Linked DNA regions of Drosophila melanogaster. The protein of the gene in region 2 interacts with the protein of the main gene of each other region in a pairwise test. Each region holds a gene or a part of one and is shown on either strand. Other genes may lie near its edges.

Region 1 (6,771 bases), on a different chromosome or scaffold from region 2:
TGTGCTGGGGCAGCATATTCTCTAAAACGATCTGGAAATGCATAGATTATGAATAATTCCGGACAACAAATAAAAGGGACGCCACCTCTAAGCCCGTGATTTGCTCGATGGCCATCCGAATGCGATGATTGCGCTTCTCGAAGATGTTCTTTGGGTGCGGCGTGAAGATGCGCTCGCCGCAGATCCGACACTCGGTGCTCATTCTTTCGAAACTAAATAAAATTGATTAATTTTAATTACAAATTATAGTAATTTTTGCGCAGCCGGTTTGGTTTTGAAGTGTGACCGTTGTCCGCAACTAGAGGTGTCAAACATTGATGTTTTTAAAATTTTCCGATATATCGATGTTTATTTCAGACTATCGATATTGGTGTTCAAATAAAAAAAAATCGGCACTGCATCCCGTGAATTTTCTTTTTTAATTGAAATACATAATACTCCTAAGAAAACACGCTTTACAAGCGAATAAATAGTTGTATATATCTCCTTTTTTTAGCAATTTATTTTTATCTTTAGGCTACGATTATAAAAATAAAATAAGCATCATAAGCAAGTTTGAAGCTCTTTTGTGTACAGAATTTGTAGTAACTAGCCTAGAAAAAGCGATTAGCAATCAAAGGAAGTCTCTCATAACGTGTAATTGTCAAATCTTTGTCAAAATGCTCTATAGAAATGCCTCCAGTACGGGGGCCGCGATCAGGCGCCAACTCTCCCGCCATCGCAGCTCCTGGAACTCCTGGATTTTGCGCTGAAAACCAGCTCTTGTCTCCAGGATGCTGGGATTCTTTGGAAAATTTTCGAACCAAATCCTCAGCTGCTCGGCCAGCTGAACATGGTCGCCAAACACGAAGCCATTCTCGCCGTGCTTCACCAGCTCATCCAGGCTAAAGAGCCATTTGTAGAAGTTAGTAAGTAATAATAGTAAATGGCAGGATTAGTTACCACTTGAAATCGTAGGCGCAGACAGGCAGCCCGCTGCCGAACATGTCGACCACCTTCATGGGCAGGTCGAGCCCACTGGTGCTCCAGTGCAGACACACGCCCAGGTCGGCGCTGGCCAGAACAGTGGGGTAGTCCTCGATCTCTAGCCAGGGCGTGATCACCGACACCTTCTGCCATTGCAGCTTCTCGATCTCCGCCACATAGTGCTCCTTTTGTGGCCCCTTTCCGGTGATGATACACAGCAGGGAAGGATAAACCAACGGCTCTGCTTGCGCAGTCTCCTCGTAAGCTTGCAAAGCCTTAAGCAGTATACCGAAGTCCTCGTCCGGCGTCCAACTGGTGCTGGAAACCAGCACGGCTTGTCGCTGTGGTCTGTACTGCACAACACCGCTGGCCAGCTTTTGGGTAAGAGCGGTGGCCTCCAGAACATCGGATTGTTCGGCGTCCTTGGCCTGGAACTGTGGGTAGTCTTTGGCCAGCTTCAGGTACAGCTCGTGCTTGTGAGTCAAGTCGATGGGATGGAATTGCGCGGGCGCACGATCATACAGAACTTTGACAGGCCTGAAAGATGAGTCGCGGCTGAGTTATTTACTTCGTTTAGATGGATGTGATGAGGACTTACCCAATGCCCCAGTTTTGCTGCAGATCCTCTTGCATGGCCCGCGTCACACAGAAGTGTGTGTGTGCCTTGGAGCCGAAGTATCGCTCCAGTCGCCTAACCAATCGTATTAGAGGACTCTGCTCTCCCTTCGACATTCCCAATGCCAGCACTGTGTACGTGTAGTTGTGCCAATCGATGGCCAGCTTGGTTCGTGTGACCGCACAGTACAGATAGCACACAATCAGCGTGGGAATGCCGGGCGGATTCTGGACGAGTAGGAAGCTGGGACGGCCAATGGAGATGAGAGCCATCAGCAGACTGAGCGTCTGCCAAAAGGCCTTGAAGAGCAGGCGCAGTTTGGGTGTTAGGTTCGTCACTGGGACGGCAGTTAGCTCGTGGATTCGGCAACGTGGATGTTGAGTCAGTTCCTCCAGCGGCCTCGTCTCCAGATACCCAATCATGTCCACGTGGTAGTTCTCCTCGAGAAGACTCTGGGCATGGTACTGCATGCGCGGACTGCGTCCAATGTCGCCCAGCACGATGACGCAGGCGTTGCGCTTCTTGGGCAGCACTTCCGCCATCGCTGGGCAAGAAAAATAAGCGCTTTATCTGCGATCAAAGGGAATTGCGCGTTTTGTTTGTGATTCGGTTGAATCCTGTGGAATAGTGGGACCGTACTCAGCCGCTGCAAAATGCCTCGGAACTCTGCTATTATGGCGCTATGTTAGGGTGGTTCATTTCAACATTTATTTACTACCTGTTTTAAAAATTTGGGTATTTTATCATTTTATCCATCTATTCTATTTCATTTAATTTTTTAAGATGAGTAATCAGAATTCTTAGATTTATATGAGCGAATATATATACTGTTTAGATTTCAAAGTATGAAGTGATAAAATAGCATAATTTTAAGCTACATTTTTTCTCTAACATTGCATTTACATTTCTTAACAGTACTGTAAAATAAAATGAGTGCGGTTAACAGGGAAATAACTTAACAGTTGCCGAGTGACCGTACCTGCTTTGCGTATGTATGATCTTAATTGCAGTAAACGTGACTGGTCACACCACACCGCTCAAACTGAATTCTCCATTCAAATTCGGATTCGTATGGACGTAACGTCGCGGCTCGTGAGTGCGGCACTTTTCTAGCGGGACTTCAAGCTCAGTGTGTGTGTGTGCGCGACAGTGCGTCGGTGTGTGTGAGTGTTTACCCACAAAGCTGTGCTACAATTTTCGCAGCAACTAATGCTCAGGTAGAGGAAATATTATTAAATATACTAGTTGGTGATGAAAAACAAATAATTGAAACAAAGTTTATGACTGCTTAAACGGGAGAATTGCCGGTGAGTAAAATCAGGAAAAGCACTCCAACTGCCGTTATTTTACGCATTTTCGCCGGCACAACAAGCCGGCTTTCCACCCTCCAGTTGGCGCCTGTCTGGATGTCAATGTGTGGGTGGCTCTATCGTTGTCCGCGTGTGTGTGTATCTGTGTCTGTGTGTGGGGGTATTTCGAGCCATCGAATTTCGATGAAGTGGAAATGCAAATTTCGTACACCACATACTACAATTTCCCGAGCTCCTGCTGGCTTTGTTCTCCATTTATGCATTTTTATGCGCGTAGTATTTTTCCTCTCTAGTGCCATCGTCAAATTTGTCACCCGGCTGTCTGAGATTATAACTAGGTGTACAGATGCGGTAGAAATATTAATATCGTTTACAGATTTTTATACGCGTATGAATAAGCAATAAAGAGGATACTATAACCTTTAAGGCCATCAAATATCCTTAAAGATATTATTTGCAAATGTCAAAGGAATGTCAAAGATACTATTATTGTATGTAATTGCTCTTAAAGATCACAAAGACTGAAGTATGATAATCTTAACAGCTACTTTTAATATTAAGAATTTCCCATTAAGGAAGTAAACAATTATAGAAATTTACTTATTTGACTTATAGCTATCAAACAAATATGCCGATCCAGATTTATTGCTTTTGAATATGATTTTCCGCATGATATAGATATTGTATTATTCTGAACCCAGCTGTGAGTGTGCTCCACGTAGTTTATCCCATTATGCTCGTCTGCAATTTCTGATCCAGACGCGATACGCTCCGCGCATCGTCCTTCTGCTCCTGCGTCCTACGTCCTTCGCAGAAGGCAGATAGCCAAGCCAGCGGGCCACCCCCAAACGGTGGGCGGTGAACGCGGGGTGGTGGTTGCACTGCTGCTCGGATGGTTGGGTGGTTTTTGGTGGGTGGCTGTATTTTCCTGGGGTTGGCCCGCAAGTTTCCACTCTTGATTTTTGATTTCAGTCCGACTTTTTATGGCGCTGCAGAAGTTTTCGCTCTGCCGTTGCCCTTTTGCGCTCTTTTTCATTCTCTTTCCGTATGGCAGCATTTGGCATAGAAAACTTATCCTCGGTCTAGACACGGAATGAAAAGGACATTTTTCTTAACCAGGTTTATGCGGTGGCAATATTGCAAAAATCATATCTCAGGATAATTCATATATTTGCCCTAAAGCTATTATTTGTAACGATAAATGGACTGATTGTACTCAATAATCTGTTTGGTCTTATGAGAAAATTTAACAATAATACTTTTATTGTTTATTATCAATAATATCAATATAATATTATATTATAATCAATAATATCTATATCAATAATATATGTTATACATATACATCTTTTAACATCGATAAGCGCACTTTTTGCATAATACTACTAATTCACCTTTACCTTTATGGTAAGTTTATTACCAGCTAGAATAATTGTTGGAATGACTGAAATCAAGGAATGTTGGTAATTCTAAGAAACAATCCATTTTTGCTCACATTTCACAACATATCTATTTCCATGTACCATGCCAAATCTAATCGTATAAACCTGCTTTCATTTTAGTTGCATTTGTCTTTATTTCTGTGCGTGTTTGCTGTCTGCGACATTTTCTGCTTTTGCTTCAGCAGGATTAGCATTAATTTCATGTTGAATTTATGTCACTGAAAATTTATTTCGCCAAAAAAAAAAAACTAAAATCTATCCGGAAAATTGCTCTCTTGCAGCTGCACCGGCAAAACATATCAAAGAAGGGATTATTTTGGACTGAAAAATTCACTTTAAAGGCGCTCAAGAGCAAAAACCCGTGACAGGTAAGCTTTTGTAGGCAGTGCGTGTGTGGATTTTGTATGGAATGGGATGTGGGTGATGTGGTTGGATGGATCGATGGGTGGATGGATGGTGGGGTGATTCAGGGAGCTGAAGCAGTCAACCTGAATAGTCGATTATCGCTGCATCTAATTTGTATGCCAAAGTCGTCGAGCTATGTGTATGGGCCCGCATGCAGACCGCTCCAAAGGCGGCGCGAGCTATTTGAATAATTCGCATCATGGACTCTCGGTAGTCGTGGGGTATTTGGTCTCTGTCTCCAAATGGGGCAGATATTCCAGGCGGGCAGGGACGTGGCATGAAAGTCAGGGCATCTAAAGAGACGGCGCCGCATGCAGGCAGCTGCATGAGCTTGTTAAATGCCAGCAGACAATGCCAAATATCCTAAACAAACTTCCGCTTCGCAGACAGCGTCGACTTCTCGACGCAGAGGTGGCTATAATTAAAAGCGGTGCGAGCGAGAGGCCACCACGTGCCGCATGGCAGTGGGAGAGAGCGCGCGATAGCGTGGCAAGTGCAACGCATCCAGGCCCCTTTTTCTATTTTCGCTGGTGCCTCGCTTGCTTGGTTTACAGCCAAGCACTGCAAAGTGAGGAATTCTTAGATTTCATTTGAAATAATTAGATAATCATGCTTTCCAGTCAATAAATCAAGATATTGACCAGTTAGTATGTTAAGCTGTATGTATACGTTTTAAATCTGAGGATATGCATCTAAACTGATTCCTCCCCTAGGCAAGATCATAAAATGATTTATTTTTGTAATTAATCAGTGTCATTATGGAGAAATTATTTCATTAAACAAATCTTTTTCGAAGAGTAGAAATATATATATTTTTTAATTACTGCCCATTAATTTCTCTCAGCGTATCGCAAGATATGTACCACAATATCAAGTGCCTTTGACATTTTCCAAATAACAATCGACAACTGTTCGCTCGTGGAAAGCGGGGAAAATAGCTGCGGAAGTGCTTTCCCTCACTCTTCATTTCCCTCTCTCCAATTCTCGCGCTGCACTTCAATTTGTGATAGTTGTTGCCGTGGAGCTGGGGGGGATTGGGATTTCAAGGAGGAGGAGGAGGAGGACGAGCTCGAGGGCAATTGAGTTCAGTCGCCACACGTGACAAACATGTGGAACAACTCAGGTTGAGATAGTGGACTCGGAGGCATCAAAAGGCAAATTATGCGGACCAATTCAGGTAGCAGAAACGGTGGAGAAAGATACAAGATATGTAGAACAGTTTCTTCGGGTCAATGACTAGAGTCTCTTTCCATTGCTAAACGCAATTTCACTTGTATAGGGCTTTTCAAATTAGTTTTTAAGGCTTGCGTTTTATTTCCAGTTTTAATACAGGTATAATGTTGCTAAACTCCACAATTAGAAACATCATTCTAAAAGCAAAACATAAAGTATGCTTACTGACTAGATAATAATATTGTTTACATTTCTTTTTGTGTTTGATGCTTGTTCTTTACGGCCAATTACACTAAAACGAGCTTTTTTTGCATTAACCACAATCAGCAAACAAGTTTTTGTTCATAAATGGTCATATAACATTTAAATCGTTTTCAAATTTCCAATATTAGAAGTGCATAGAGGTCATTGAAAACTGGTATCCGAAAGATTCAATTGACGAGTGTTCCACTGCGAGGTGCTAGAGAATCCGTTAAACTGTCGGATGCAAAACTCTCGGCAAAGATGCAAGTTTGCCAGCGGGTCATTCAAGTGGACGCCCGTATCCCCGCACGTGGACACTTCAATGACTGACTGACTGAATGACTGGCAACTTGAATGCCTGACTGACCGAATAAATGACTAGCGGACTAACTGACTGACTAACTGACTGACTGACGGGGCACGCAACAATTGTGGCAGCAACAGAAACGACTCGATGGAGAAAGGCGAGAAGGAAAGAAGGAAGTGATCAAGTTTTTCCTTCCCAGGTTCTGCCTTCCAAATTTATGCAGTCCCTCCAAATGGACGAGGAGGAGAAGCAGAAGAAGAGGATGAGGTCATGGGGTGATTGGGGTGGATGAGGAAAGTACCGGGTGAG
Region 2 (6,955 bases):
GCGGAACGCAATTTCTTTGTCCTTGGAGCAATAATACTCCATTAAAGCAGCGGCCACGAAAATGTGATAGCGCGACCTTACGTCCTCCCGAGCTTTCTTAAATATGCTACGGGCCGACTTGATCCCCTCAGCACGACGGGCGAACTTCATGTACTGAACATAGACCTGGAGTATTAAATTTCGATGGTATCAAATATTTGATGAAACATATTCAATATGTGTGTTCCTACCAATGTGGGATCAATGTCTGGCAACTGTAACAGCTTGTTGTACATAGTGTGCACCTTCTCGTACTTGAGCCGTCCTTCTTCAAAGTCCGCATAGGCAAAATATAGCAACGCATTTCGGTTTAGCACGCCGTTTATAGACCGTTCCAGTATATTAGCACACTCGTCCGCAAAAATCTTGGCCGCCTGGACGTCCTGCAATGTTTTAATAAGTAATTAAACATGTAAATACACAAAAGTTCGACTTAGTTATAAGAGTAAAACGCGTGCGGCCTGGCCAGGGGCAACGGGGCAAGCCACGGAAAGCCATCTGTGTTGTGCCACTGCGTGCTCCTTTACCCGAGGGGCGACACTTCTTAGCAAACAAGAGACTATATTTGATTCGTTTTTGGTTTTGACCTTTGCCCACCACCAAGCAAAGGCCATAACCCACTCTATTTGATTCACTACAGGAACGCAGAGAATAGGTGAAATGTTTTCAACACTAGTACGCACGCCTTTTTCGGTGAGCACGCGAGCACTGGTGTCCAGGAATTGGGAGGCCTGGTGCCACACTGCCGGGTGGTGGGTGAGCACCAGCAAACATTGCTCCGTGGCGAACATGACACGACGGGTTACTAGGGCCGTATCTTCAGTGCGCAAGGGATTAGACTTCTCATACGTGATAAAGCGCTTCCACAGCTCCACTTGCTTCACCTCCTCTTTTGTGAGTGTGGGTGGGACGGCTGGCAGATTGCGATTGAGACCCTTTGTGTGGTATTCCAACTCTTTGGCAACACGACGAGCGTTCATGTAATCCCTGGTTTTAAGTTGGAATTTAGAAAGAACATTTAGCAAACTCTGCGTATAACACTCACTTAGATCGCTCCAGACTCATCTTCTCTGATATAATCGGGTTTATGTTTTGCTCGAATGCGATATAGTCCTTCCACAACTGCTCGATGCCCACGATAGGTGTGACTACAGCCTTTTGATAGACGCGGCGCACTGCTGTGATCTTTTGGTTCTCTGCATAGTTGCCCACTGCTTCAACGCCCCGCAGAAAGTATATGTAATCCTGCCAGATGCTGAACGAGTGTAGATCCATGCCGATTTTCTCCAGTGCAAAATCATAAGCCTGGGCCATTTTTTCTCTGAGAAAAGAGATAAGTCCAATAAAATAAGCGTGTCAGAATAACACAAATGTTGTGCATCAAAAAAAACAATATGCTCGCTGCATTGCAAGTTTTGACTAAAATTATAATAGTTTCTAAGATGTCAAATTATGTGAATTATTTAAATAAGGTATAACAGTTACTTGTGAGTACTTAGACCCGACTTGGTTTCCTTCACGTAGGTAAGATAGAGCTTCCAGAGGTCGATGTTCAAAATCTTGACTAGGCAGCGTTGAAAAAGTTTCTCCACGCGTTCATAGTACCGGCTGCGCATCTCCATCTCAATGTATAGCTTCCAGTACCGAGCGGTTGTCGGAAACACATTAACTAGCGACTCGTAAAGACTGCGTACTTCGTGGATTGGCCGCGTTTGGGCCTCTCGGATCATGACACTCCAGGACTCGATGTCATAGGGCCGCAGCTCCACCACTTGCTGAGCTCGCACCAGGCGCTCCATGCCCCATTCCTTGTCATCGATAAGTAAAAATATGTTGTTACCATCCAAATAAAGCCAATGTTTTACTTACTATGTCGACTTTGATAAGGTCTCTGGCCGAAGACATTGCTAATAGTCTTTGCAAATTGTCGTTGAGTCCTGCTTGCGCTGCTCCTTGGCCCGGGAAAGTTCCTTTCTTCCGTTGAACTTTCGCTACGCAATTACCTAAAGCAACGCTTGGATGCCGCTTTTCCGAATTCTTTTAGAAGTTGCAATGCGGCTGCTTAGATATCGACGACTGATTGGATGTAACTGCGATAGTGTCATCGCCAATCACATCGCGGGCCTTACCATTAAAATCCCAAGATTTGGGATGTGTAGTACAGCGGTCACTGATTATAAACTATAAATAAAAAAGATATATGGTTTTAACATACTTTAAAGGTACTAAATCTGTAAATAATGAATTCAAGCAGAAGCAATATTTTTTATAGCTTGTTTCCACTGAAACATTTTTCTGTACGTTGCTAAGGTGAAGGTTGTTAACAGATACTTTGAACCGTTTAAGTTCTATGTAATAGTAAGTAAAAGAGGTAATATTTAATAAAAAGGCATTTTTAGGAAGCCTGGAATTGTATGCCTAGTAGCGTAACTAGGTACGAATTTTTCCTGATTACCCTATAACATTATACATTAAAACAATATAACATAATATGAGGTAAAGGTATTCTTGGTATTGTGGTATTCGAACAAACATAACTATGAAAACACACGAAAACATTATAATTTAAGTCAATGGATTGTTCTTAAATGTTTTAGACACGAGTCCAAGTGATAACAAAATTCAACAAGGTTAACGGAACTTATTTTTTGCTATAAGAAATAGAAAGTGAAACGCACCTTTCTTCAGCAACTGTAGTGTTAAATTGTTTTAAGAATTTACTTACAGAGAAATGTTTTATTGAAATTTAATTTTTTCTTTTGTTGTTTCTTTTTCATGTTGAGGGTTCAACATTCCCACAATTTAACAGTTTAAGGAATACCCAGAATCTAACCCTAGAAATAGATTGGTATATTTATCGATATTAATTCAGTACCAGTATGCGGTCACATTGGGTAAGTGTCAAAAAAGTTTTAAAACAAACGCTAAACAATCAGGAGTGGCAATCAAACGAAACCAAGCGCATTTATTAGCCGAGAGATAATTCGAGTTAAATTCGCAACTAGTATTAGTATCATTCATTGAAACCGATTTATTAAACTGCCAAGGTAGACAAGACACACACACATGTGCGTGTTTCCGGAGAGCATCACAATCATTGCAGACCTAGAGGCCAACAGCTGTTGTTGATGTCCTAGCGGTATATTTACGGTTTATAGACTTCGACAAGTTAGTGAAATTATTACCGTTCCTGGGTCACTCTCCCTTACCTAATACCTCTGTGGGTGTGTGTGCTAAGGCGCAATAAGTGTGTCACACTGACGCGGTTTTGTGTTTCAAAGTAGAACAAACACTGTGTGTGTGTATCCCTCACATATGCATTAGCTTTGTCTCTGTTATATTGGCCAATGTTTATTCCTGCATACCAGAAATAAATAAACAAAGAAATCATTCTCTAAGCTGTGTTGCAAGCACAAAAAAAATTTTGTCTGCAACGATAAGTTTTTCCCTTGATACAAATATTTATATATCTTTTGAGCCATAGCGTTTTTTCATTCTGCAAAATTAGTTTTATTCAATGTGGTTTGTATTATGTGTTTTTGACTATCAAAACTATCAAAAAATCGTGTATTAAGGGGACTTTATACCGTAAAAATGTATGTTGTCTTACTAAAATATTTTTGTTATAAAAACTTAACTTTCAAAAGGGATTTAAAGCGAATGCAACAAAACTCATTCATGAAATATACCTTATTTTGTAGCTTATTTAATTCTTGTTTAGATAGTTGTAATTAAAAAGTGCATTCTTTGCGATTTTCGGAGAAATTATAGTTTTTAGGTCCTTACCCTACTTGTTCAAATGCAGAGTAATTTTAGCTAAAAGGGAGTTAAAAATGCCTGTTGGTGAATTGATTCATTAATTTGTTATTATGTTTGTGTTTACTTTTTTGTAAAATAATTCAATATGCAACCACTACCACGAAATCAGTTGTTCTTTGCTTGGACTAGAAAAAGCATACGAAATTAGGGAAATACCTATACAAAATTAGTTAATTAAATATAAGAGGCGGTGCCACGGCCACAATTTTTGGTATCATAAAAGATAATGGCAAAAAAATTTAAATATCTTTATCCGTTCTAGAGTTACAAACTACAACAAATATAAGGGGCGGTTTCAGAACGGATATATTGTAACCCAATCTGAATATCTTTCAACGTCCTGGAGTTATTCATTTTGGGCAGAAAAAGTGGTAAAATTTCACATAGTGGTACGTGGGCAAGTTTTGAAATATTCGCACACCCTAACGACGGCAAACCGCCCAAAAGGTTCACACCCACACTTTTGTGAAATGTTATAATTATTTTTCATTGCATTTTTTGATTTTTTGCTACTTTGTATCGCTTTGCCAAAATACCTCCACCATCTCATTCGAACGCCAACCAAATTTTTTAAATATGTTTAGACTTTTTTATTTGGTTATTATACCCGTTACTCGTAGAGTAACGTAGATTCGTTTAAAGGAATGTAACACGCAGAAGGAAGCGTTTCCGACTGTATAACGGATCAATAGCCGAGTCGATATAGCCATGTCCGTCTGTCCGTATGAACGTCGAGATCTCAGGAACTATAAAAGCTGGAAGGCGGAGATTTAGCATGCAGATTCTAGAGACAAAGACGCAGCGCAAGTTTGTTGATCCATGTTGCAACGCCCACAAGCCCACGAAAAAATGCCACAAGCACTCTTTTGAAAAATATATTGATATTTTTTCACATCTTTATTAGTCTTGTAAATTCCGATCGATGTGCAAAAAAAAACTGTTTGCCACACCCACTGTGACGCCCTTAAGCCGACAAACCGGTCACGCCCCACTTTTGAAAATTGTTGAAATTTTTTCTCATTTTATTCCCCAACATCTTTTGGTATCGCAGAAAAATATCTGGGTTAACGGGTATCTGATATTCAGGCAACTCGACTATAGCATTCTCTCTTGTTATTCTAAACAATTTTATGGATATGACAATCAAGTTTCAAAGTTTCTCCCTCGTTCTCCCCTTAGTTGAGTGGCGCTAGTGGAGAAAATCTATAGCGGTTCCTTTTGTTATTTTAACTTTTTTCCTAAACTAATTTTCCATAACAGAGATAAATTAGTTGGAAATTGTCAATATATTTCTAAATTAATTTGCTTTCTTTAAATATCAATTTATTTAATAGATAGAAAATTCATTTCGTCCTGTCTGTGTTACCAAAATATTTAGAACACTTAACAAAAATTCATATAACGTTCTGTTATATGAATTGCTGTTTGATTAACGAATGATTAAAACGTTTAAAACGTTACGTTTCGAAAATCAGAAAAAAGGAAAGAAATGCATACATTATCTTAACTTCAAAGCTTTTAAAGTTTTCGAGGTGACAGCCCCCTTACGGACAGACAGACTTTACCATATCAATTCGGCTAGTGATCCTAATCAGGAATATTGTACATATATATGTATATGTATACCGCATTAAAAGAGCATACAAAAAATTTCTGAATTCTACGACATCGAAATACAAAATACAAAGATAAAAAATACTTGTAGAGTAAAAGGGTATAGTTGATTCGTTGGAAAGTATGTAACAGGTAGAATAAAGCGTTTATAGCTTCAGTTTCAGGAACTATAAAAGCTAGAATGTTGAGATTAACCATTACCACTCTAACGCCCACAAACCGCCCAAAACTAAAAAAATTTGTTTCATGGTTTTATAAGTCTTGTACATATCTACCAATTCGCAAAAAAAAATTTTGGCACGCACACTCTACCGCCCACAAACCACCCAAAACTGTCACGCCTACATTGGAATAATTTTTAAATTAGTTTCCATTTTATTATTTTGGTTTCCAATTTCTGCCGATATTCTAAAAGACATATTGAAATATGTCGTTCCACCTGAGTAACGATAGCTGGGGAACTCGACTATCGCATTCTCTATTGTTTATAACTCATTTTATGGAAATTATAATGATAATCGTCATCAGAAATTTGTTCTGATTTTTTCCTGTTACCGTCGGTTAACTCAACTTGTTTTTGTTTGTTAGTTTATCGGGCCAAAAACCGATTCGTTCAAGCTACTTTTCAGCCATCTTGTATAACCGGTTATGATACGAATTTTCTTTATAATTATGTGGTGCATTTTTTTAAAATAATCCCTGGGACATCGTTAGATAGTGTCTTTCGACGGCTTGCGAGTTCTTGCTCCTAGATTGTATAACTCTGGACCTATCCAACAACTCTACTAACGATTTTTGACATAGTTCGTTCTGTCTCGTTTATTCTGTCTTGTTTATCGTGAGTCGAGATGTCCAAATTGGACAAAATTGGCTTGTAAAAGAGGTGTTGGTGTATGCAAAAGTTGGTGTTTGCAGTTACAATGGTTAACGACATGAACGTTAGTAATTTTTCTATCAAGGGTGGACCACGCCCACTAAGCCTAAGTGTGTTTGGATTGTTGGGTGTGGGTGTGGAAGTAAAAGAGGGCACTAAATGTGAGAGTAGATATAGTTGGCTGTGTTCGTCGGGATCTTTTCAATTTAATTTGTCTACCCTGAATTTTTTTTCACGGAGCAGTAATTTAGTGATTATCGTTTTTTTCAGTCGGGTCATTCGGGGGGAACCGTACTAAAGAGTCTACTTTGTTTACTGCAAAATTCATTATTATTAATGATATGATTAAAATGAAGTTTTTTATTTATAATCGAACACAATTTTTTGTGTACCAAAATTATTTTAGTGGTTATACATATTTAAATGATTTTTTTGAGGGTATTAATAGATACAGTTTAGCAACCCAACAATTCAGCCTTTCGTTACTTTTTCAACTCCAATCCGATGTCAAACAAACAAAAATAAATCGCGAGCTGACGTGATAACAAATAACCGCAAACTGCTGTTGCTAACAGAAATTGTATTATTCGGTTGTTCAATAAATGTTCA
Region 3 (4,864 bases), on a different chromosome or scaffold from region 2:
AAAATATTGGCCGTTTTTTTGGTCTGCTGGGTGAGTGCGGCAAAGGAAAAATATACAATTAATCCGAAAATAAAAAAATATAAAAAAAAATATATATGCATATTTACTTTACAGCTGGGACACGTCACAGCCCAGTCATCTGCCGATTATATAGAGCTTGAAATTGGTTCAAGGGGTGAAGGTCCACCGGAAAAGACGGAATTTCCCTGGGGCAATGATGACCAGGATCTTGAAGCAACATTTTAAGTTTCTTAAGATTTTTTAAATTCTATAAATTGCATCATATACATCTCTGTTAAATATATTATAAAGAGAATCCAAGTCTTATCAGTAAAGTTACTTGTTATAACCAAAATTATACTATACTTTTGGGCCCATAGAAAAATAACTTACTCTTGTATGACTTAGTCTTAATTTAATTTAGTCAGTTATAATATATAAACCACCTATTGTTTGTCAAAACTGGCTTTATATAAAAGTAAACTCTTTCTACTCATGTATTAAATTATATCTTACTACTTTATAAATATATTCTATATCAATACCCATAATTCCCATTTTTAAATGAATGAACCTCCAAACATATTTTGTATACAGGGACCAAAATAATTACAATTTTTTACAACATTTTCTAAACTACTCAAAGTAATAACTCAGCACTACCAAAACAAGACTGACATGTGTTACTGTTGAAACACACTATTAGATGCCTCGAAAAAGATTTTTGAAAATTCTAAAAACTTACCAGCTAATGGCCAAACTGGGAGACAGACACACGGAAAAGTTAGGCTAATGAAAATTCCGTAAATAAGACATGTTCTTTTCTTCTAAAATGAAAACTAATTAATATACCGCCAGGATTTTATATTCTTAAACTTCACCTCATCTAATGCAAAGCATAGTAGAATCGAAGATACTATCTGACATAGCATTACGACAGTGATTCCCATAACAACATCTTTGTCAATAGTTCCGGCAAAAGTGTGATATTTGAACTGACGTCTCTGGTGATCAAATGGATAATTTACTGAGGGAAAAATATAAACATTAGCTGGCAAAACGTGTACTAACTGACCATAGCAATCCAGAATGTAGGCGTAGAAACCGAAACCACTCATTAAGTTCCACGAAGCCAGAGTTGCGATGACAAACCAACGTTGATTTGATCGATCTGGCATAGTGTACCTGCGTTTTTGTTCATAAAAAATGTATTTTTTTTTTTTAGTAGGTAAAATATGCTGAATAACTTTTCCAGGCCCGCCCCAATGGAAATCAATTTAGCGTCAGGTTCAATGGACTTTTACGACAAGTGCGTGTCAGCTGGATGAAAAACTAATTGCGACCATTAAGGCCACGCCCCCTCTTCGAGGGCGAGGCGGTTGCCAATGGCAGCGGCGTTGGTGCCAAACTTTGGCCGTAACTGGAGCACTCAATAAAATGTGAATTAGCCCGGCGGAGCCGGCATTAATGGTCCGCGATTCGGGTCCGCAATAGGAACCTCTCCATTTCCCCGGAAGGTGGCAGCTTTGACACGCTTCCAAGTATCAATGCGATTGTTTTTGCGGCACGCGAACAAACTTTAGTCTTATTTTTGTATGTTTTTCAACTGCAGTGCATCGAAAGGTAGTGAATTTGAGTCCTTTGACTGCGGCACGGTAATTGCGTTAATTTCGCTCGAATTACGTTTCCCATCATTGTTTCTGCCACGGCGAACCAACCACGCCCCCATTTGGCTGTCTTGCATGTTTGGCGGCACTTTTGTGGTTTTTTTTATCGAGTCTCCTTGCCCCTTGAGTCCTTCGATATAGTTGCATGTCGACAGCATTATTGGTGCCCTTACAATTTATGCGAATTATCCCCTACCTTTTATGCACCCAGAAATAGAAATGTGTAAAATTTAGACAAAATATTACCAAGTCTATGCATATATTTGCGATGGGTTTCTATTTTACAATTTTTATCTAATATTTTCAGTGTACAATGTCGCCTGCTAACCTCTCGCAGTTCACTGCCTCTATTAACTTGGCTTCATGGTCTTCGAGCACTAACATTCTTCTACAACATCGACGATGTCATTATCCTCCATGGCCAAGGAGTCAAATGTGTCCTCCTCCTGGATTTTCTCACCATCGAAGGCCAGGATCAGAGACTCAGTAGCAACTCCAAATGCCTGGGCATATTTTTGCCTAAGAAGTGCGGCCAAAGGTTGATCCGTTCTCACATGGCACCGCAGTTTAGGTAGATTTGAGGATAGAAGCCAAATGGTTTTGCTTTGATTGGCCATTCTATTTTACATTAGAATTACTAGGAGTGTATTTAGATAGTGATAGGTGCCACGTGGCCTTCTGATCGGCCGACTTCATTTCATTCATTTTTTGGAGCCACATCATCAGTGGCAGAAGGGCTGAGATTTATGATCAGTTGCCGGCGTAGCGCTTACCAATAAATAAGTTCGATAAGATAGTGGTGGCGAATAAGTAGCTGGGACTATTCTCAAGTCACCATCGCACTTGTCTCATATGGTACACACGTATGGGTCACCCTATCTCGCTCGGAAATCAATGGGCTATTCAAGGTGCAGACGCGGGCAAGTAACACAGTACCAGGCAGACTAACCGCAATGCACCTTGGGGCTAAGTCTATTATAAAATGCTGGAAATAGAAAATAATGAAAAAAAATATATATACTTCCTAAATACCCTTTGGTTAGGGAATTGGTATTCCTAAATACCCTTAGATAGGCAAGCTATCTAACTATCTAATTATATATTATAAGTACAAAAGTACAAAAAGTATAAAAGTATTATAAAGTACAAAAATTTCATTATAAAGTGCAAAGCTTTAACCACATTTAAATATATTTATACTTTATACTTAATTTCCCAAGCCCATTAACCTTTGAGCTGCGAGCAGACCATTATAACCAAGATCAAGCAAAGATCAATTTGACAGATCATATTGTGAACCACTGTGCACGATAGCCAGCGCTATCTAAACGAATTTATAAATATTATACGAACATATACTATAACGGCGACAGCGAATTTCGATAGAGCTTTGCGAGACAATTCGGGGAATGAGTATATGCGCCGGCAGTCAGTTCTTAAGCGGCTTTCTGGTTGCACGGTCGTGTTTATTCCGAATTCGGGTTAGGAATCACAAACCATTATCTCTTCTGGGAGGTGTACGAGGTGGCTAATTTAAATTCATAACGAGGGGGAGCTAATTGCGCCTGTGGCCAGAATGAAGTGCCTGATAGTGTTTGGTCTGATTGTGGCCCTGTTTGGTGCCTTCGTGGGCTATGGCTACGTGGTATTCACGGAACTGACCAAGCCCCTGCCCAAGCCGGAGTTCAAGGATGATACGTACTGGGGTCCCGGCGATGCCAAGGACTTTGTGCCCGACGAAAAGATCTACGAGTTTAAGCTGCAGGTGCCGCAATCGGAGATCGATGATCTGCGAAAGGAACTCAACCGCACGCTGAGACTAACCGAACCGCTGGACGGAATCGCCTTTGAATACGGATTCAACACCTATGCACTGGAGCAGTTTGTGGACTACTGGCGGGACAATTACCTGACCAAGTGGGATGAGCGCCAGGAGCTGTTCAACTCGTTCAAGCAGTACAAGACCGAAATTCAGGGGTGGGTACGAGTGCTTTTGTATAACATGGATGCCATGCTAAAAACGTAATACCTCCGCAGCTTGAATATTCACTATATCCACGAAAAGGTATCCGAGGAGGCTAAGGAAAAGAAACACGTATATCCTCTGCTCCTGCTCCACGGCTGGCCAGGATCGGTGCGCGAGTTCTTCGACTTTATACCCATGCTAACCAAGCACTCAAACATCACGGATTACGCTTTTGAGGTCGTGGCACCATCCCTGGTGGGCTACGGATGGTCCGATGTGAGTGTTATTTGTTTTTCAGTTGAATTTCTTCATTTTAATTATTATTATTATTATTATAACTTAAGGCTGCCACGCGTCCCGGATTTAATGCCGCTGAAATGGCCACTGTGATGCGTAACCTGATGCTGCGTCTGGGCCACAAGAAGTTCTTCATCCAAGGCGGAGATTGGGGCAGCATCATTGGCAGCAACTTGGCCACCTTGTATCCAGAGAACGTAATCGGTTACCACTCGAACATGTGCGTTCTGCACACGCCACTGGCCATTCTGAAGGGAATCTACGGCAGCTTCTTCCCGGAGAAGTACTTGCCGTCCAGATTCTTTGTGGATCATCACTTCCCCGTGTGGGAAAAATGGCTGGAGCTGCTGGAGGAAAGCGGTTACTTTCACATCCAGGCCACCAAGCCGGATACGATTGGAGCGGCTCTGACCTCCAGTCCCGTCGGCTTGGCCTCCTATATCCTCGAGAAATTCCAGACCTGCACAAATCCCGGCCTGAAGCAGGACTTTGGCGCCATAGTCACTGTCTTCGGCCTGGAGGCTGTGCTGGACAACCTGATGGTCTACTATCTGACGAACTCGGCCACGACAGCGGCTCGTTTCTACCTGGAGAACGTGTCCAAGACGTACAGGGATCTCCAGCTGGATCGTGTGCAGTCCCCGGTTCCCATGGGCTGTGCCCGCTTCCGGTTCGATCTGGCCTCGGTGACTGACTGGCAGCTGAGGGACAAGTTCCCCAACCTGACCCACTCGATGTACTTCCAGCAGGGCAGCCACTTTGCCGCCCTGGAGATGCCGGCCATGTTGTTCAATGATTTTACCGCCTTTGTGGGAAAAATTGGCCTACACGGCGAGAAGAGAAAATAAATTGTTTTAAGTATAATTACCAAACGGATTTTGTACTTTCGCTTGGGAATCGGGAGGCACATGAGATAGCTATTAAATTGGCAAGG
Region 4 (4,733 bases), on a different chromosome or scaffold from region 2:
CACCAAGCAGTTTTATCAAAAAAGGCGCTACAAGGTCGGTAGTTTAAAAAATCAAAGGGCTGTTATCAGCAGACAATGGATTTTATGATGTTAATGATTTATCGAAACTATCTGTCTGCGTGATATCAAAATTGTGTTGTTAAGGGAATGTGAAATTGAAATAAAACATTTATTGTTAACAAAAGCACTTTGTATTACCATATCAAAATAAGGTTCAGCACTTAAAACCAACTTGTTCGACTTTCCATTAATGCATCGTATATTAAATTGATATGCTTTTAAAACTTTGCTTTGAATGCAAACTTTGAATCATCACTCCGATTAGTCATCCTTAGTTTCAGTCTATATATTTAGCGTTTAGTTTACATAGTTCTTATAGCAATCATTTGACAACAACACAATCTACATGATGACACACAGGCCACACTCCTCCATGACACAACAGGCTCCTAGCAGCATGCAGCACTCGGCGTCACTGGGTCCTTGGGGGGGTCCTGGCTGATTGTAGCTGGGTTGCTCCACCACAACCACCGGCTGGTTGTAAACGGGCGAGGGCATTATCACCTCTACGGGGGGCGGGGGTCCAATAACATTCACCACCTCCACGGGCGGCTGATAGTAGGGATCGATCACGTCCACCTGGTAGCCTGCGTTGTACATTCTCCTTGTTTTACTTTTTTACTAATTTAATGACGGAAACTCCTAGTTGATAACTAGTAACTGGCCTAAACTGCTCGACTAAGTGAGCCCCGTTCGGTAACACGCCTTTAACTGAAACATCGAACACAAATGGTTGGCGGTTTGGTGGAAATATCTTACTCATTATTATCTAAAGCCGGTAGGCATTTGATCAATGCCCTGCCCTGATTACGAATTTGTGTACACGCAAATAACATAGAAAAACTACAGGTACAGTGGAACACATTTGAATATTCATTGGAAAACACACCCAATTTTTTTTAAAAACGTCGCTCAGATAAATATTCTAAATATTATGTGTAGATAAACATTGGCTCAAACTTACCAAATTTGTACCCCATTATTAATTTCTTTCAAGCTAAATAAATAAATATATAATGTAAAAAATCAATAAAAAAAATATCAATCGTAACTAACAATAACCAATGCAGCAAATTGACTATTTTGGATTTTAAAAATTCGTTCAAGCGATTTACACCACTTGCTGTTTCTAAACTTGGCCCCAACCGCTTTCTAAAAAAGGCAGTACTGGTATTTCCATTTTTATTAAGATTACATGTTAGCCCAAGTATCTCAAGTATTTTATATTAAACTTGGAAAACAGGTTAAAAGTGTTAAATTTTCCTACTCTGTTAAACTATGGGATTTTTTCAGCCTGTTCACTTCGATATCAATACCACGGTTTTCCGTCTGAATTATCACAGTGCGTATGAGTAATAAGGTTTGGGCTTTAGATAAACGTTTGGCAAAGAAGCATTGCGAGTCAGAAATTATGTTAAATGAGCAGACTACTAACTTTGGAAAAAGGCACTCGCATTCGTTGTCCGACTCCCGCCCACATAATGTCCCACTTTGGGGACCCTCGTCAAAATATTTGGGGCGAGAGCTCCGACGCTGCGGTTGCAATTCAAGAGCCAAGAGTCATAAAATCCTTTATCAAATGAGAGCAGCATGGGCCTGGAACCGGAGTTGGCAGCACTCTTGACACATTTTCCGCTTTTATTGGCAAATTGAGAAACATATAAATAATAACTCGGAATGTGAACTAACTTTGAAATGATGTGGTGAGCATTTCCAGCAGCCAAAAAGGATTGTCCCCCTGCTCGCGCATCATAAAACTACAAATTTTTGTGGGATGTTATTAAATTTGGCTTTTTATTATATTGTGGTACTTTCGCATTGGGATTTATGTAAGACAATATGTTACCAAGCGTGTTCCCTTCGCCACAAAAAAAATGGCAACCACAGTGTGAGCCCTACACAGAGTTATTTATAACGAATCGTAAAATTTTATTGCACGAAAAAACTGTGTGAATTGTTTGCGGCCTCCATAGACATAGAAAGTTAATTTAACGTAACGAATTAGGGGTTCTGAGGTCCTTTGCCTGCGGGCACCTTCGTCTTTCACATGATGGTGCAGCAGCAACAGCATTCGCCACACTGACAGCAACAGGGGCAGCAAGGACAACAACAGCAACTGTTATCCTTGGGAGGAGGCGGCGGCGGAGGAGGTTGCACGATCACCGTGGTCGAGGGTTGGGGTGGCACTTGCACCACCTCCACAACGCGAGTTCTGTGGTCCATTTCGATTGGTTGTAATCCGGTTGTTTTCAATTATAAAATGTACTTGTTGCACCGCACGCGTTTAGTTCGGCACTGGTCATATTGTTGGGATTGTGCTATTATAGCCGCGCTCTCGGCAATCTCTGCTATGGGTGTTATCTATAGATAAAAGCAACTGGAACTCTTATCAGTGGCCAGCGATTTGTGTGAAGTACCTAGCGATTCGTTGGGGTCCCACCTTGGTTGTCTAACCAGCTTTATGATAGAAAACTACAAAATCGATAGGTTATTTATTACATGATTTTATTTATGAATTCGCTGCATTCAAGCGTTGTTGTTCAAATAAACAAAGGCCTTTCTTGTAACTTACAAGTTATGCAAAATCTGATAATATACTGATAATTTTTATCGGGTTTGCTGTATACTGTATTATCTGATGTTTATTTTTCTTGCAATTCAACAAACAACGTCATCATCATTTTCCAAGCCCTAAGATGTCTATATATTTGGTTATATTTTTATATTTTTTATCTTATACTCTATTCTTTGTTATTTACTTTTACTTGGAGTCAGATTAGCACTTTAATTAAACTCGTGTTCGGCACTCTCATTCCCCTATGACTTTATCAAATGAATGACTCACATTACACAAACTATCGGGGGAAACTTGAAACACACAAATGTCGCATAATGCCAAATGGGGCAGCTAATTATATATGCCACCTTATCTGAGCACTCAAAACTATATCCGACGACGCATTTTGCATTCAAAACCAACCATTCGAGTGGCCCCATCAGCATCAGCGGCCACATCAATTTCGGGCGAATAGTTCCTCGTTGCTATCAAATAGCGGAGATCTCAATTAAAATTTTCACCCAACACCGCAGATGGGGTATGTGTAAGGTGGTTGGTTGGCTTTTAGAGCGGCGTTACCTTGCTGAAATTAATAAAAATATATATTTTTGAGCGCCCTTCGTGCAATGGCGATGATAATTAGTGTACGTGATTCTATTTACTTCGACTGGGTCCCCAAACCTCGATGGATCCCCGTAGCATCCCCAGTTGGGAAAGGGGTTGGTTGGTTGGCTGGTCGGTTGGTCGGAGGGTCCTTTAAGGCAAGGGAATGTCCCTGTGTGTTTGGAGGGTGTAATATGATATGCGCGTAAAAAATATAGTACGTGTGTGCGTGACAATGGCAACAACGTGCGGCAGATCCCTAAAAAAGGAACGGATGGGGAACATCGGTTTTGGGGGACCGGCGACGAATGCCGGGTGTCAAAAATGAAACTACGCCTGCTCGGAATTTTAAAATAAGCAAATGAGTTTTAGCTTGATGAAAGCCAGCAACAACAGTAAGCAACAGCAGCACCCCATAAATATTTATAAACTTTCCCCTGTCATATAAATACAGGGTCATTAGTTGGCTTGCGCACCTTACGCCGGAGGTTCCATTCCCTCCTCGAGGATAATAAAAACGAACTAGGCGGCAATTTAAATTCCTCTACTAATAGAGTCGTTACTTTCCTCCGACTCCAAGAACATAACTAAAGGGTTAATGGGGTTCACGCAGATTTATTATTGGGAGGGTTGTTTAAAACCGGAAAGGGGAAGTGGGAGCACTGTTGTTTTAACCAGTGTAAAGCAACAGTTAAGAACTGCAGTAAAGGCAAAGAATCCATTAAAAATATTACAAATCAGGCAAATAAGTTTCCTTATTACAAGCCATGAAAATATTTCAATTAGAACAAATTTAAATCCACTGTTCGGGTTTATAAATAGAGTATACGCAGTGTTGTCCAAATGCAACAATGGTAGGTTGAACTTTGGTCAGAACCAAGCCTATTGGCACTGTTTCTGTATAGACACATATAATATATATAAAAATGATAAAGCAAAATGGCGAAAAGTGGCAGTAAAAAATAAAATGCGCTGCCGCAAAAGTGCCATTTGTGGCATAAACACATGCGCGCCAAAAACTTTGATAAGACAAAAGCCGAGCCGAGGCTACCAAACCAGGTAGGCAATAGCTGGCAGGTGGGTAGGCGTGCCATGTGGGTGGTTGTTAAAAAAGTGGCAAGCGGCAGGATGAAGGCCAAAAACTTTGCCAAGTACGGCGGCGGCGGGAGAGCCAGAGTGGAAATGTCGCAAGAATGAACTTCGTCGTTGGATCCTGCGACCGCAGTGTGCCACTAAATGCTGCCACTAAATGTGTGCCAAGTATTATTGCAGGTGCCACCAGGTGCCTATCTACACACACACACACACACACGCGTGTGTGTGTGCCAGTTCTCTGCCGAAATTGCCCAAGGAGCACGAGGAGCAAAAGGAGCTGCTTCTTGAGGTGTTCGCCGCGCCAGCGGGACTGGCATAAAATTAGCACAATAAAAACACATAAATGCGGCACAAAAACATGAAAATCCACTTGTTATAATTTAATCGAGTTGATAGAATTTTTACGACTCTTCTCCAG

What was found.
Region 1: the proteins of CG17162 (region 2) and tinc interact in a two-hybrid assay, tested with the Drosophila melanogaster proteins (one large-scale study listed by BioGRID).
Region 3: the proteins of CG17162 (region 2) and CG43069 interact in a two-hybrid assay, tested with the Drosophila melanogaster proteins (one large-scale study listed by BioGRID).
Region 4: the proteins of CG17162 (region 2) and CG34198 interact in a two-hybrid assay, tested with the Drosophila melanogaster proteins (one large-scale study listed by BioGRID).

Annotation. Positions count from the first base shown.
Region 1 is NT_033777.3:17,808,916-17,815,686, forward strand, and holds the start of tinc (tincar), read left to right. Parts: upstream 1-2,625; 5' UTR 2,626-2,889; intron 2,890-4,615; exon of another isoform or gene 4,616-4,702; intron 4,703-6,771. Other genes in the region: Odj (oddjob), read right to left, coding at 1-31, 86-202; Alg1 (ALG1, chitobiosyldiphosphodolichol beta-mannosyltransferase), read right to left, coding at 665-884, 943-1,503, 1,565-2,124. UniProt on the Drosophila melanogaster protein: Involved in eye morphogenesis. May be essential for the normal differentiation of ommatidial cells.
Region 2 is NC_004354.4:23,092,685-23,099,639, reverse strand, and holds the start of CG17162 (uncharacterized protein), read left to right. Parts: upstream 1-2,905; 5' UTR 2,906-3,207; intron 3,208-6,030; exon of another isoform or gene 6,031-6,955. Other genes in the region: su(f) (suppressor of forked), read right to left, coding at 1-165, 231-422, 627-1,026, 1,085-1,360, 1,525-1,847, 1,909-1,944.
Region 3 is NT_033778.4:18,860,306-18,865,169, reverse strand, and holds CG43069 (uncharacterized protein), read right to left. Parts: upstream 2,309-4,864; 5' UTR 2,285-2,308; coding exon 2,045-2,284; 3' UTR 1,893-2,044; downstream 1-1,892. Other genes in the region: CG43071 (uncharacterized protein), read left to right, coding at 1-30, 115-246; CG43070 (uncharacterized protein), read right to left, coding at 637-686, 746-827, 882-1,027, 1,076-1,178; Jheh3 (juvenile hormone epoxide hydrolase 3), read left to right, coding at 3,244-3,644, 3,705-3,909, 3,978-4,778.
Region 4 is NT_033778.4:19,680,617-19,685,349, forward strand, and holds CG34198 (uncharacterized protein), read right to left. Parts: upstream 2,362-4,733; 5' UTR 2,284-2,361; coding exon 2,104-2,283; 3' UTR 1,830-2,103; downstream 1-1,829. Other genes in the region: CG15127 (uncharacterized protein), read right to left, coding at 403-660.